Linked DNA regions of Elephas maximus indicus. The protein of the gene in region 2 purifies or fractionates together with the protein of the main gene of each other region. This does not show direct contact. Links are inferred from orthologs where the notes say so. Each region holds a gene or a part of one and is shown on either strand. Other genes may lie near its edges.

Region 1 (8,023 bases), on a different chromosome or scaffold from region 2:
AATCCTATAAACCCTGGGACATGGTAGATGTTGAATAAATGTGTAATGAATTAGTGAATGAACAACCTCAACATATCCTTCAGATAAAATAGGTCCCTTTTAAAAAAAGGTTCTTTTAAAAAAAAAGGACCAGAGACTACAGTTTTCCTTGGCATGGAGGTGGCAAGGGCATGCCTGGAATTCCCTGCCCATACCACAAAAGAGCACCACTGTATGTTAAGGCAGTTTTCCAAGTTTTGAGACATCTAGTAAGAGGACAATGGGGTTTGGAAACTTTAAGGGTCAAGCATTAAATTTATCTTTTTAAAAGTGGATGGAACACCAACTCTTGATTTTAAATATTGTTTGTTTTAATTAAAATACTGTTCTCAGTGATTTTGCATATTTTGAGTACTTTTATTTTTGATTCCCCTTGGCTTAAAAATGCAATGCCATAAACCTACCATATTCCCTACACCTATAAGGACAAAAACTGCTTGTCTTTTACCAAATGGGAAAATAAAGTAGAACTTGTGTGTTTGATAAAGAGGCATTTAGTAAATATATTATTACACTGCCATTTGTAAACCCTCTTTCTAAAAGTACATGTGCCTATTTTAGGTTAATGAATACCAGGTAACATTTACTAAATACTTTTCATTTTACTGGTATGAATACCAGGTTCAAACTATAAGCAAAAACTATTTTTTGTTTTTTAAAAGTATGGTATGAAGGGTTTAACTGCTCATCACCACTCAGTATAAATAGTACTAAATTCAGTATTCTGCCTCTAAGAATTTATAACCAAATGTTTACCTTGACCAATTTCAAGGTACTCATTTAAGATTAAAAAATTTTTTCACACACTGCTCAAGTCACAATCTGTGCTTTTATCCCTTTTATTAACACTAATTTTTAAATTTCTTTTAGCCCCACCTAATAAGTAGGATATAAATAGGATTTATAAATAGAATATTATAAAGGTAGGACACTTAAATTTCACAACTGGAATATATTAAATCACTTACTTGCAAACTAATACTGTCTCAAATAGTCACACACAGATTTGGAAAAGAGTGAAAATCATTTTACCAAGCTGGACTCCTAGCCTCTCAGTCTGATTGCTTCCGCCCCACCTCATCCTTTCTCTTCTGTTCTTCCTCTGCCAGGAATACCATCCTGACTCATCTCTGCCTAAGTCCATTGCTTCCTTGGAGACCTGGCTCAAGATTCAGCTCCTTGATGAAGACCTCCCTCACTAGTTCCCATTTCCACTACTTTCTAATTTTGCATCCCCCTGGGATTTATATGGAAACCCTTGTGGCATAGTGGTTGAGCGCTATGGCTGCTAACCAAAAGGTCGGCAGTTCAAATCCACCAGATGCTCCTTGGAAACTCTATGGGGCAGTTCTACCGTGTCCTGTAGGGTCGCTATGAGTCGGAATTGATTTGATGGCAATGGGTTTTGGTTTGGGATTTATATGTAGTTTGCACTACACAATCAAGAACTTAGTTTTTTTTCCTCACTGTAAATTGTTTTTCATGTTTCTATCATTTCCCCAACCAGGGACCATGTAGAGACAGCATCTTCTACTTTCATATTCGCTTCTACAGGGGTGGCAATAAGTGCTTCTTCAATGACTGAATCACAAGTGAAACAAAGCCAATTGTTCAAAAATTTAAGTAACTGGGTTTTCAAATCACATTTACAATACTCTTATCATCTCCACTATGCATAGGTCCTTATAAAAGATGAGATTTAATTCTGCCATAGTTCCATCAATTCATCATAAAAGCCCCAGGTTACAGACCTACACGTATAATCAAGGTAAAGAATAATCCGGGCCATTCAAATATATCTTGTGATTTACCATTTCAAGTCGCTCATAAAAAGCTTCATAGTCTTAAAGCAGCATGCTTGTGAGTGATAGGGAGCTGGCACCAGCCTCTTGCAAAAGGGACAAAACTCTGTTTGGCAGTCACTGTTCAAACACGTGAGCCTCCACTGTTAAACAAGGCTCGTTAACCACACCAAACTTGCTGTTTCAGCGTTCTGGCTTCAATGAAGTGCTACGATCGCCTTAGGTTATTGTTGAGAGCCAACGATGGGTTAAATTCCCATACATTAACCAGCCTTTTTGGTGGTTTGCCCAAGTATCAGTGTGGATGGATTTTTTTTATAGACCCGCCCGCCCGGGGGAGCCAGAGGTGAGTGAAGAGCGAGCCACCTCGGTACTTCTCAGCAGGCAAACGCGAGCTGTTCGGGCTCCCTCAGCTCTTAGCGGCAGCTTATCGCGCAGAGGGGGGAGCTTCAGACGCGGCAGCTTTTTACTAAAACGCAGCCGAGTCTACCCTTAGAGACTGCACGCCACACTTCGGCGTCTGCCCAACTTTTCCTGCAAGGAGCATCAGCTTTTCCACATTCAAACCCTCAGAAGACGGGGTGTGGTAGAGACCGGCCACAAGCCGAGGGGAAGGAAAGCAGGCCCCGGGGGAGGGAACAAGCTCGCCCCGCCAAGGGCGCAGGGTGGCAGAAACAAAGTGCGCGCCCAGGAGCCCGACTGCCGCCGCGTCCCGCCCGCCCGGCCCCGCTCACCCTCCAGCAGCACCTCCTTGCCCGCGCGCTTCAGCGCCTGCACGGCCTGGTCGTGGGTGGCTTGGCGCAGGTCAGTGCCGTTCACCGACAGGATGGCGTCGCCCAGCCGCAGCGCCCGGCTCTGGTCGGCCGCCAGCCCCGGGAAGATCTTGGAGATGAGGATCGGCATCCGGTTTTCGCGGCCGCCCTTGATGCTGATGCCCAGGCCGCCCGCCTCCTGCTTCACCACTCGCACCCGGCGCACGGGCGGCGACGCGCCCGCCTCGCCCGCCGAGCCCCGTGGCGGCGCCGGCGGGCTCGGGGGGCCCAGGCCGCGGCTCGGGCTCCCGGGCAGCGAGTCGCCGGCTCCGCCGCCGTTCGGGAGGCCGTTGAAGTCGGCCGCCGCCGGCCCCAGAGCGGGCTCGGACTCGGCCGCCGCGGCGTCGCCCGTCAGGCTCAGGCTCTCGCCGCTCAGCTCGGCCACCACCCGGACCCAGCGCTCTCTCAGCAGCAGCTCCACCAGCCCCGCTTTGGTGGCCCGCGTCCACACCGCCATGGCCGGCCCCGCTCCCGCCGCCGCAGTCGCCGCAGCTACCCTCATTCCAGTCAGGCAGCCTTGGCGCTTCCCCCTTCCCGCCCGAGGGGGCGGGTCCGGCCCCTCCCCCGCCCGGGGTGATTCATTATTCATGAGAGGCCACGCCCACCTTCCGGGGTGGGGGCGGAGAGAGGCCGGCGGAGCTGCTTCCGGAAGGTGAGAAGTTGCCGGGAATCCGGTCCCTTGCCCTTCACCGGACGTGGGCAGCCAGCCCGAGCGCCCCTCAACCCCTGAGCTCTACCGTGCAGTCCCCAGGAGCTGCCTGGGCACAGAAAGCAACATCAGCTTCGAGAAGTACTTTGTAAGCCTGTAAGGTCTGAGTCGCATGTTTATTCTTGCGTTGATTGGTTCATTCCGTATTTACTGATAGCTCCGCCCTGTGCGTGGACACCTTCTGAGGTCCAGGAGATAAGCTGAATAAAACATACCACAGCTGACAGCTCGCGGTCTAGGAGGAGAGGAAGACCCATAACCAACCAGCTAGTTGCGATAGTATGTGGTTAGTGACATGTAGGAAACGCCCCAAGAGCAGAGTGGAAGGAACATTTGGTTCAGCCTGGGGTAGGCGTCACAGAGGTGACAATGGAGAATGAACCCTCAAGCATGAGGAAAATTACCAAAGGTCCAGAGGCAGGAACCTAAACATTTGTTACTCTGCTTTGCAATTACCAGTTTACTTGCCTGTAATGCAAGAAGGTGCCATGTCTTCTTCAGCCCAGTAGCCACAATAGGTAGGCCTCAAAGATATTTGCAGAATGGTGGTTATTTAAGAAGCCGTGATTCCAATATGAAGTCAGTGGAGGTGAGAGCGTGAGCGTGAAAAGCCTCATATAATCTAACAACGAAGAGTTTGGACTTGACTTTGTAGATCTGACTTTCTTAGCCTCGGGGCCATGGCCTTCTGCTGGGGAAAGTGTAGATGGGCATCCTCAGAAACTATGCAAAATTTGGTCTCTTAAGTTTTCAGAGTTTCCAAGGAGCAACTGGTGGATTCAAACTCACAATCTTTTGGTTGGTAGCTGTAGCACTTAACCACTGTGCCACCAGAGTTCCAAGGTAAGTTTTGGCTTCCATTCAATTCACAGACATTCCAGGGACAAAAGCCACAACCACTACTGTGCACGCTGCAGAGCCTGCAACCGCTTGTATCCAAAGACACGAATGATTCAATCCACAGGCTCTTCCAGCTTCATAGGCTAAAAAGCTGAAGAAACTGAGGCCCAGAGAGCCAAAAACTCTGGTCCAAAGTCCCCAGTGAGGAAGTACAGACCACAACTCAGGCCTCCCAGCCTCTTGGTCCAGTGTTTTCACTATATACCTGGACTATTAAAAATGAGAGCCCAGAAATCACACAGCTGAGAAAGAGAGCTTTCATTAAAAACATGGGGTCAAGGTGCCCTCTAACTTTCCTTCAGCATCAAAAGTGAAACCCCACATTTTCATTTCAAGAAGTAGAGGTAAGCAGAGGGAGTGTGCACCAATTTCTATAAAAGGGGCTGTACACCTGCTTGTTCATGAAGTGCATGCTGAGGCTCATAAGCTGTGTTCATGCACCACTCTATAAATGCACATTCATATGTGGGCAGAAGCTTCCAAAAAACCTCACATACCAGGAATTAAAACAACAAAAATAGAGGCTGGGAAGCACCCAGAGCCCAACTGAAGAAAGAATCCAAAATGAGAAAAGTATCTTCCCGAAAAATCATTAGAGCAGAATCCTTTTTGGAATTAGGGGGGTAGGATTTTCCAAGCTGCAAATGTCAGCAAAAGCTCAACCCTCCAGCCCTCTCCTAAAATCAATTGCAGTGAGGCCAGCTTACTGTTCCAGCAGGTCCTGATGTGCCCAAGTGCACCTGCAGTCACAGACACTTCTGGCTCTGCTCCAGTTGAGGCATGAGTCCCCGGAGGCCTGAGTTATGTGAAATTTCTGCTTAATAGAGAACGCTTGGCACCTGATTCCTTAGAGTCTGAGCACTATTTTTAACTCTTGCATACGTAATCACCCAGGGGATGGGCACTTGAGGACGCCTTTATTAGCAAAGGGAAGTGCTGGAAATTCTTTCCAAGAGTATCAAGACCTTTTTGGTCAATAGAATTGGAGGAAGTCATAGATCATCCAACTAAAAGTAAGTGAGGGCACTTATATAAGATAGCCAGTTATAAAACAAAATATTTAACCTTGGGAGTAGATAGGAAGGTTATGGAGATTGCTTTTTGGATTACATGGAGATTTTTCCTTAAAAATGTTTTTAACTTATCCATACAACTCCCAAGGTATAAGACCCTCCAACAGAACCCAAATTAACTTTTCAACATTGTCATTACTACTTTCAGATTTGCCAAACTCACCACCCAATCAGTGTTCCCCAATGCCTTTTCACATTGCAGCCTGAATCTTCCAAACATCTCTTGTCCCCTTGGACCTCTTTCCCTCATAGCAAGATCTCATCCCAGCTTTCCCTGACTACTCAGTTGGTTGGGATTTTTCCTTTGAATGATTTTTTCCCCTATGCCTGGCCCATGTGCCCAAATAAATTATAAACTACAGGAGGGCAGGGACCACCCATTGACTTATTTTTATACCCCACTATTCCAAGCATATTGTCTCATACAGAAGGAACTCATTAAACATGTGAATGATTGAAATTGAGTGCCTCTTGTGATGTAGTATCTTCAAATAACGCCTCTGAAGGTTATTGGTTCCTTGCAGAGTGAAAATTACCATCTAGGAAATCTCAAGTAGTGAAGTATCCGCTTATTGTGAATAATGACATCTGAAGTAAAGAGTACATCTCTGTTTCCACAGTTTCTTGAGGACAGTGAGACAAGCTCAGAAAATTCTTTAAACAGGCACGCTATTTTATCTACCTCTGAAAAAAGCAAATGGCTGAGTTCATTCTTAATAACTTTTCATTCCTGTCACCTATCAACATCTATTCTCCTCTGCTCAAACTGTTGTCTTACTATTTCTCAGAATGAGGCAGGGATCGTTGCTATTTAAAATGAGGGAGTTAGATTCACTCTGTCAGTTCCATAATTTCATTTTACAATCTGTGACTCAGGCTCTGATTCTATGCCTCCTTAAACCCTATGGTTTGAGGGGAAGGTGGGAAGAGCGGCCTTTTTTCATCTCCCTCATAGTGGATGTAGAGTATAGCATGGTAAATAAGAGCACAAGGTTCAAATTGTGGTTTGGCCATTTACCAAATATATGACAATGGGCAAGAGGCTGAGGTCATAGGCCTAGTCTCTTCTTGGGAAAAATTCAGATAACTTGTCTCTAAGGGTGGTTGTGAGGGTTGAGTGGGTTGATGAGGATTCAAAGTGCTTACCACAGTGGCAGCCATATAAAAAGTATCTGTTGCTGTTATTACCTATCGACCTTCAGCAGTAGCGACAATAAAACCTTTGGTAGAAACTCTTGAGAGTCTACACTTTACCTAGGATTGAGTCTGCCATAATGCCATTTGATTCCAGGATTAAAGGGCAAAGAGCCAAATTAATTTCAGTGACAAACAGATCTCATATAAAGCTACACTTCAACTGAAAGGGAATATATATTGCCAAGAGTCCGCCAAAGGAAAGAATTAGTGGGTCTGGGGCTAGTTCCAAGGTTTGAGTGTTGTGTAATTTCGTAAGGAAGGAGGGCCCCAGGCAAAATAGCAGCCTTGAAAAAGCCTGAAGGTCACTACCACAAAGGCGGCTAGATGCCAGAGGAAAAAAAACCAAGAGCCACTCAATTACTATTAAAGAAGAGGCTAAAGGGAGAAATAAGCTGTGAAATAGCCAATACCCAACTTTGAAAAATTACCCACGTATAACTGTTCTTCAATTAGAAGACACTGAAATCAGCTGTCCCTTTCAATGGACAGTACAACTTTGCCTTCAGGGAGAAATACCCTAAAATCTATTTTTTCTCCAGCATCAAACATGAAGTGAAAGAGGAAAAGTTGCATTTATCCTTTAGCTGATGCAAACACATTTTTAGAAATTCATCCCGCCAAGATAAATCACTATCCATCTGAAATCCTCAAAAATGGATTAACTATCTCATGCATTATGACTATGACAAACCACATCTGCTAACCACATTCCTAATGAGAAGCAGCTGGTGACAGTTTTGTAGCGTTGTGACTTTCTTTTTAGGAAAATATTAGCAAGGACATACTAAGCAGAAGGTTAGTTTCACTGAATTCACTTAGCTATGGAAAATCACCAGTGTTTTTTCTTGACAGGCACAGAAATTACACAATCTCTCCTGAGTAGGTTAATGCAATAGCCAATTTGGGTGATCATGAACTTCTCTGGGAATCAGCTGTATGTGGTGGATGCTCTCCTCAGACAAATGCACACTCACATGCATTCAACCTTGGGGGCTCACAAAGCCCCTGACACCCATCAATGGACCCTGTCAAGAACCTACACAATAGCTTGTTTTTTGGCCTCCCCAACATCCAGTCTTTTCTGCCCCTTATGTATACAATCATTTTTACTTTGGATCTGTGAATGACTCACAACTATGTGTTCCACTGAATGAGAATTCTTAACTACAGACTTCAAGGCCCACCTCTAACTGGTTCTGTCTCTCACTACACGTTGACTTAAGGGCTCTATATCCAAATCTACTTATCTTTTCTGTACAATTTTCTAAACCACTTAGCTTCCCTCTATGGAAACTGCTCTACTCTTAGCTTTTCTATGAATCTCACGTGGTTCTCCTGGTTCTGTCACTATCACCTAGGGAAGCTGTCACCCTTCTGAGGCCAGCTTTTCTGATTTTGAGACAAGCATAATCTCAGCAGAATGGTAGGTCCTGCCAGCCCCTTCAGCTTCATTTTCCTCCATTTCCAATGTATCCTGTTTTAACCACATGG
Region 2 (7,880 bases):
AACCAATGGCATTGAAGGAAGAAGTCCAAGCTGCACTGAAGTCACTGGCGAAAAACAAGGCTCCAGGAATTGATGGAATACCAACTGAGATGTTTCAACCAACAGATGCGGTGCTAGAGGTGCTCACTCATCTCTGCCAAGAAATTTGGAGGACAGCTACCTGGCCAACTGACTAGAAGAGATCCATATTTATTTCTATTCCAAAGAAAGGTGATCCAATCAAATGTGGAAATTATCAAACAATATCATTAATATTACACACAAGTAAAATTTTGCTGGAGACCATTCAAAAGTGGCAGCAGCAATATATTGGAAGGGAACTGCCAGAAATTCAAGCAGGATTCAGAAGAGGACATGGAAGTGGAGATAACATTGCTAATGTTAGACGAATCTTGGCTGAAAGCAGAGAATGCCAGAAAGATGTTTGCCTGTGTTTTATTGACTACGCAAAGGCATTTGACTGTGTGGATCATAACAAATTATGGATAACGTTGCGAAGAATGGGAATTCTGGAACACTTAATTGTGCTCATGAGGAACCCATACATGGATCAAGAGGTAGTCATTTGAACAGAACAAGGGAATACTGTGTGGTTTAAAGTCAGGAAAGGTGTGCATCAGGGCTGTATCCTTTCACATACTTATTCAATCTCTGTGCTAAGTAAACAATCCGAGAAGCTGCACTATATGAAGAACGGGGCTTCAGGATTGGAGGAAGACTCATTAACAACCTGTATTATACAGATGACACAACCTTGCTTGCTGAAACTGAAGAGGACTTGAAGCACTTTCTGATGAAGATCAAAGACCACAGCCTTCAGTATGGATTGCACTTGAACATAAAGAAAACAAAAATCTTCACAACTGGACCAATAAGCAATATCACGATAAATGGAGAAAAATTGAAGTTGTCAAGGATTTCACTTTACTTGGATCCACAATCAACACCCATGGAAGCAGCAGTCAAGGAATCACAAGATGCATTGCATTGGGCAAATCTGCTGCAAAAGATCTCCTTCAAGTGTTAAAAAGCAAAGATGTCACCTTGAAGACTAAGGTGCATCTGACCGAAGCCCTGGTGTTTCCAATTGCCTCCTATGCATGTGAAAGCTGGTCGATGAATAAGGAAGAATTGATGCCTTTGAATTGTGGTGTCGGCGAAGAATTTTAAATATACCAGGGACTGCCATAAGAATGTACAAATCTGTCTTGGAAGAAGTACAACCAGAATGTTCCTTGGAAGCAAGGATGGTGAGATTACCTCTCACATACTTTGGACATATTATCAGGAGGGACCAGTCCCTGGAGAAGGACATCATGCTTGGTAAAGTAGAGGGTCAGCAAAAAAGAGGAAGACTCTCAAGGAGACGAATTGACACGGTGGCTGCAACAATGGGCTCAAGCAGAACAATGATGGTGAGGATGGTGCAGGACTGGGCAGTGTTTCGTTCTGTTGTGCATAGGGTCACTATGAGTCGGAACAGACTTAACGGCACCTAACAATAACAAATATTCATTGAGTTTATTTCCTTGAGAAATTGTTCAATTCCCTTACCCAGAGATACATAAATACGCTGATAAAATATAAATGTAATGTTCTGATACACGCCCTTTGTTGCTTTTTTGGAAGACGAATATAAAAACACACTCATTGTTGCAAAAAAGAAACATATTTTGCCCGATAAATAAATATTCAATTTTTCATCCCCTTAACGTGCCTATCACCTCATTTTTTTTTTATAGAGTTTTTTCACACATAGAGTAATATCAAGCAGTGTCTTGTGCAACGGACAATAAAAAATGAAACTCACTTGATACATAAATTAAAACTTTTTGTGTTAGATAAATATTGATATTTTCAGTATTTTTGGATGTTTGCTATGTTGGTATGATATTAAATTATTACCCATGTTAGTATTATATTAAATCTATGCTAGATTGAGTCCACATGTATGCCAAACATATTCTTAAAGTTCAAGTTAAAAATATTATTGTTTACAAAACTTAGGACGTAACTCTGTACATAAATGCTACACAGCTAAAAAGTAACTTGATTGAATTAATTGCAACGGTCGACTTATTCGAGTTTCCTCGCTTTTGCACGTCATCTGGGACTGGAGTTCCCATAGCGTTGTTTACCAGGATGTACATAAGAGCGTAAGAGCATACCCTTGTGTTTTTATCATGGCGAAGAGCAGTGCTGGCCCTCTTGACTGCAGTTGCTGGATCAGAGGGCATGGCTGTAGGAGACGGTTCTCTAAAAATGGATCAGAAACCTGTTGTCTATTAATATAATCCATCCTTGCCTAGTAACTGCTCATGCTGAATCCAGTTGCATACTGGGTGAATGTAGCAAGAGTTAAAACCTACCTCTTGTTTATTAGAAAAAAATAATACACTCCCAAGAGACTCACCAAGATAAGGAGTTTCAATTACATGAGAGGGGACTGTAGGAGACAGATGTCAATGAAGGTGTTGAAGTGGTAGGGGCCTCATAGCTTAAACAACCTTGCGTGTGGGCACCCTTCATAAACTTTATTTTCACCCGGCGCATTCTCACACACTGGAACTGGTGCCAGTCTCATTTAATGCCCTGTCAGTTCCCTTCCACTGTGTCACTCACTTTTCCTTGTGTCCTGTCTGCTTGGCATCTATAGCTGTTTGCTTTGAATAACTGGTGCCCCTGTTTTGTTGATGCCCTAAACACTCGCTTAACTTGGTTATGGTGTAATCCTTCCCTGCTGCCAGCAGTACATGCTCCCAATCCCTTCTCTGATTTGAGCATCTGAGAAGCCTGTACATGAAACCCCAGGACAATCTCACAACTCCTGCTCCTCCATAGACCTCCAGGTTCCTTCACCTAGAGCTCTAGAGCCTCAGGAATCCTCTTGCAGATCTCAGAATCACCAAGACCCGAGACAGAGTGAGACTGTCCTACCTTCTTTCAGTCACACTATCCCACAACTCTCCTCACCCTGCTGGCAAGTACATCTGCAGCCAGCCTTCTGCTGGTCCTCTGGGTCAGAATCAGGCACAGAGCTCTGTGACACCTGCCAAATAGCTCCCTACCACCCCAGCCTCGGCCTTAGGGTTAAAAATACGTCCTTCTCCCAGTCTTCCTTGAAGTCTGACCAAGCCCAGAGTCGGATGGACCTGCCAAGCTTATCCTTGCAAGATGGCACGCAGTCATGGGCACAGAGCCTGCCAGCCAGCGGGCTCCTGTGAGGAGCTCCTGACCTCCCCTTTCAGTGCCCTCTGCCCCTCCTCTTCCACGAGGAAGCCCAAACCCAAGGTTTTGTGTTTAGTCAGCTACCAGCTGACCCTTAAGATCTACTTTACTTTCATTTCAATTTGCCACGGCAAGTTCCCAAAGACCCAAGTGAAATATTTAATGGGGAAGTGGAGGGCCTGGCAGAGGTGTTTCTAAGCTATTAACAGGTTTGGCTTCCTTGGGGGCAGGGGAAGGGTACCCATCTCTCAACATTTCTCTCATCTTCTAATTCTTCTCCAAACACCTTCTTCTCCAGGACTCTGAGACATCCTGCCCAGTCTGTGAATACTTCTCCCCTCCCAGACACAGCTCCAAACAGGCCCTCATCTCCCAGGCATGGGTCAAGTCTGCCTCAACCTACGCCTACACGGTGGTGTGATCCTCCCTGCAGGTCCTTCCCCGCCACCACTCTCTCACCCACCCAGGTGCCCAGCATGATGCCTGACACCTGAGGACAGCTCCTTGTTGTTTAAGTGAATGGTCTCTTTTCACCTCTCCCTACCTGTTCTGCTAGTCAGCAAGAGTCTCCTCACACCCTCCTCCCCTCCTCCCTGTGGGTGTCCCCACTTATACCAGCTCCACATCCCTCTGCCCTCTGTTCTCCCTCTTCTAATCCTGCCCTGCTGAGCCGAGCTCATCTAACAATCCCAGCCACTGCTTTGGGGGCATAACAAGTATTAGTTCACCTAACCCTCACAACAAATCCACAAGGTAAAACCAAACCAAACCCCGTTGCTGTCAAGTCGATTCCAACTCATAGCAACCCTACAGGACAAACTAGAACTGCCCCATAGAGTTTCCAAGGAGCACCCACTGGATTCGAACTGCCGGCCTGTGTAGTTTGCAGCCGGCACTCTTAACCACTACACCACCAGGGTTTCCCCCACCAGGTAGGCACTACTATTAATCTTCATTTTGCAGATGAGGAGCCGAGGTACAAGGAGATTAAGCAGCTATATGGGGTCGGGCCTGGATTTGGACCCAGCCGGTTCTCCTCACCCTCTTAACCATCCCACCAAGTGGCCTTTCCCCACCCGCCAGCACCTAACCGCCCCCCTCCCCAAGAAGACCACTTGTCTGGGTGCTGCAGCGGAAAGGTTTATTCTGACATCCGGCGTGGAGTGAAGCAACAGTGCAGACATTGGCGGCTGCAGGCCGATGTGTCATAAGCAGAGTTTCGAAGGCTATAACCGTAAAGTCTCTGGTTCCTGCGTCCGTCATACCTAGGGTCAGCCCAGCTCGGGCGTCTGATTCCTTCCGAGGCTCTCTCCACACCACCGCACTGGGCAGAGACGTTTGGGACCCTCCCCTGGCTGGCAGCCTGAGGGGAGGAGGTGCCGCAGATCATCCAGGCAGCCCCAGGAGGCGACCCGCCAAGGCACTGCGCGCTCCTGTCCGCAGTCCGCAGATCCCGGGCGGTTGCTGCTCTCTGGCGGCCGGAGCTGGGAGCCCGGGGACCCGGGAGTCGTGCCTTCTCCGCTCCGCGCCCCCAAGGGCACCAACGAGTGACCGAGAGGCCGGAGAGAGGGCGGGAGGAAGCGGGACGCAGCTGAGGGAAGGGGGGAGGGGTCACGGAGAGGCAAGAGAGGGAGACAGGAGGGGGCGCGAGAGAAGAGGACTGGCGGGCGCACCCGCGGAGAGGCAGGGACGGCTATACCGGCCCCGAGCGCGCGCTAGCGCCGCGGCCCATCCGGACCCCGGCACGGCTGCTCGGCCGGCGCGCAGAGCCCCTTCTCTCGGGAGCGCAGCGTCCCCTCCCTCGGCGCCGGCCGCCCCCTCCTCCCTGCAGGCGCTGCCCCTCCTCCGTCCTGCCCCCCGCGCCCAGTTGGAAGCGCCGCAGTGGCTGCCGCCTGCACCGCCCGGCCCGGAGCTGCTGCTCTGCCCACTCGCCTGGGCGCGCTCGGAGAGCCGCGCGAGTCGCCGGCCCGGCTTCTGGGTCCGATTCTGCGGCTGGCCTTGGGGAGCCCGGTCGCCGTCCCGGCCGGCCCCGCTCCGCTCGGAGCAGCCGCGCCCGGCGTCCCAGGAACTTGGACCGGTCCCCGACGGAGCCGGCGCGTGCCGCTGGATCGGAGCCCTGCGGCTATGCTCGGTGCCTCCCTCCCTGGCAGCAGCACGCCCAGCCCCCGGGCCTGGCCTCCGACGGCCGCGCGTTGAGATGACTTTCCGCGATCTCCTGAGCGTCAGTTTCGAGGGACCTCGCCCGGACAGCGGCTCCGGGGCTGCCGGCTCAGGTGCCGGCTCGGGCAGCGCGGGCGGCTCGGCCGCCTCGGAGGGCCCGGCGGTGGGGGGCGTGCCGGGGGTCGCGGGCGGCGGCGGCGGCGTGGTGGGCGCGGGCGGCAGCGAGGACAATGGCAGCTCCGCCGGGGAGCCTGGGGGTGCGAACGGCGAGGTGAACAGCACGGCGGCCGTCGGGGGGCTCGTGGTGAGCGCGCAGGGCTTGGGCGTGGGCGTCTTTCTGGCCGCGTTCATCCTCACCGCTGTGGCGGGCAACCTGCTTGTCATCCTCTCGGTGGCCTGCAACCGCCACCTGCAGACAGTCACTAACTACTTCATCGTCAACCTGGCCGTGGCCGACCTGCTGCTGAGCACCACGGTGCTGCCTTTCTCTGCCACCATGGAGGTCCTGGGCTTCTGGGCCTTCGGCCGCGCCTTCTGCGACGTGTGGGCCGCGGTGGACGTACTGTGCTGCACCGCTTCCATCCTCAGCCTCTGCACCATCTCGGTGGACCGGTACGTGGGCGTGCGCCACTCGCTCAAGTACCCGGCCATCATGACGGAGCGCAAGGCGGCCGCCATCCTGGCGCTGCTTTGGGTCGTAGCCCTCGTGGTGTCCGTGGGGCCGCTGCTTGGCTGGAAGGAGCCCGTGCCCACAGATGAGCGCTTCTGCGGCATCACGGAGGAGGCGGGCTACGCCGTCTTCTCCTCCGTGTGCTCCTTCTACCTGCCCATGGCCGTCATCGTGGTCATGTACTGCCGCGTGTACGTGGTCGCGCGCAGCACCACGCGGAGCCTCGAGGCGGGCATCAAGCTCGAGCGGGGCAAGGCCTCGGACGTGGTGCTGCGTATCCACTGTCGCGGTGCGGGCACAGGTACCGACCGGGCGCACGGGACGCGGAGCGCCAAGGGCCACAACTTCCGCAGCTCCTTCTCTGTGCGCCTGCTCAAGTTCTCCCGCGAGAAGAAGGCGGCCAAGACCCTGGCCATCGTTGTGGGAGTCTTCGTGCTCTGCTGGTTCCCCTTCTTCTTCGTCCTTCCTCTTGGTGAGTGACCCCTTACCCACCAGCCCCTCCTCTCCCTCCCTTGAGACTGTGGCTTTGTCCTCCTCACTCTCCTCCCCCGACTTGGGTGACCCTCGACTCTCCGCCTTAACATAGAAGGTTGATTCAGTAGCTTCCCTGAAGCAGGGGTGCGTGCACCACTGTGTAGACAGAGGGTGAGAGGCTCTTCACGCTTGTGAGTTTTCTTTCGCAGGCTTTTTACTTTCCTGGCCTTCCCTGCCTCGTTGCTGTTACAAGCCCTGGGCGTGTTTTACCCTCCCGGCCCCTCTAAATATCAAAAAAAAAAAATCAAAGGTGCGTGGAAATCTGTGGATTCTGCCCATAGTATGTGGTCAGTGTGTGTGCTCACCTGCATACATGCAAACCCTGCCCAGATACAAATGGCAGAGCCCGAGACAGGAGCAGAGAGTGGGCAGACTCTCTATTCACCAAGCCCTTGCCAACCATCATGTACATCCGCAGACACCAGAAGCCACCTGCTTTCCCCCAGCACACATTCGGTTTGGAAGCTGGCCTCGTTCCTCCACCCTCCCCAGCTGGTGTTTGTGAATGCCCTTGGATCTCACTTCTGAAATCTCTTGGAGATGGGGGCCGGTGAGGATGAGAAGGAAAAGAATGGAGGCGGTTTATCACATGGGAAGTTAATGTTGCGAATTGTCATTTCTTTTATTGGTCGAGTCCTTTAGCTCCACTGAGGAACTTTCCTCTTTCTTCCAGGAGCTGCCCTGCAGTCCTGGGAGTCAGGCAGGGGCTTCCACCACCCCTGGAGGCCCCTCATGTGGGTCTTAAATCTGGGCCAGCACAGTGAGGAGAAGGGGAAAACAGCATCACTGGAGACACGTTTGCATCTCCAGGGTCACTTCACCCATGGCTGCAACCTCAGCCAGCTCAAGCCGGGGCCTCCCTGCGCCCCACAGGCCCCACACTGCGTGGCTGCAGCTGCGTCAGGAAGGGGAGAGTGGCCTTGCTTCTGCTCCCCTGCAGGCCCTCTCCACACAGCAGCCAGAGTGGCCTTTATACATTATAAATTAGATTCTGTCACTCCCTCACTGAAACCCCTCAATGCCTTCCCACTGCCCTGGAAACAAAATCCAAACTCTCTACTGTGGCCTATGAGATGGTGACCTTTAAATTTATTGTTCAAACCAAAATAGGGCACTAGGAATCTTTGTGCCGGGACCACAGGCATGAACCAGGACTGTGCAGGCAAACCCAAACAAGTGGTCGGAAGGCGCTAAGTGTGGCTGCCCCCCTCTGCCCTCATGGCTTCGCTGCCCTCCCTCTTGCTCACTGCACCCTCCATTCCCGCTAATTCTCATTAGGTCCCTGGCC

The links. Proteins that work in one complex are often made in the same cells at the same time.
Region 1: the proteins of ADRA1D (region 2) and SNTB2 purify together in Homo sapiens (tandem affinity purification; 4 studies listed by BioGRID and IntAct, with this or other methods). This does not show direct contact. The link is inferred for Elephas maximus indicus from reciprocal best matches to the Homo sapiens genes ADRA1D and SNTB2.

Annotation. Positions count from the first base shown.
Region 1 is NC_064839.1:35,419,084-35,427,106, reverse strand, and holds the start of SNTB2 (beta-2-syntrophin), read right to left. Parts: upstream 3,201-8,023; 5' UTR 3,156-3,200; coding exon 2,576-3,155; intron 1-2,575. UniProt on the Homo sapiens protein: Adapter protein that binds to and probably organizes the subcellular localization of a variety of membrane proteins. May link various receptors to the actin cytoskeleton and the dystrophin glycoprotein complex.
Region 2 is NC_064843.1:42,883,596-42,891,475, reverse strand, and holds the start of ADRA1D (alpha-1D adrenergic receptor), read left to right. Parts: upstream 1-4,848; 5' UTR 4,849-5,425; coding exon 5,426-6,530; intron 6,531-7,880. UniProt on the Homo sapiens protein: This alpha-adrenergic receptor mediates its effect through the influx of extracellular calcium.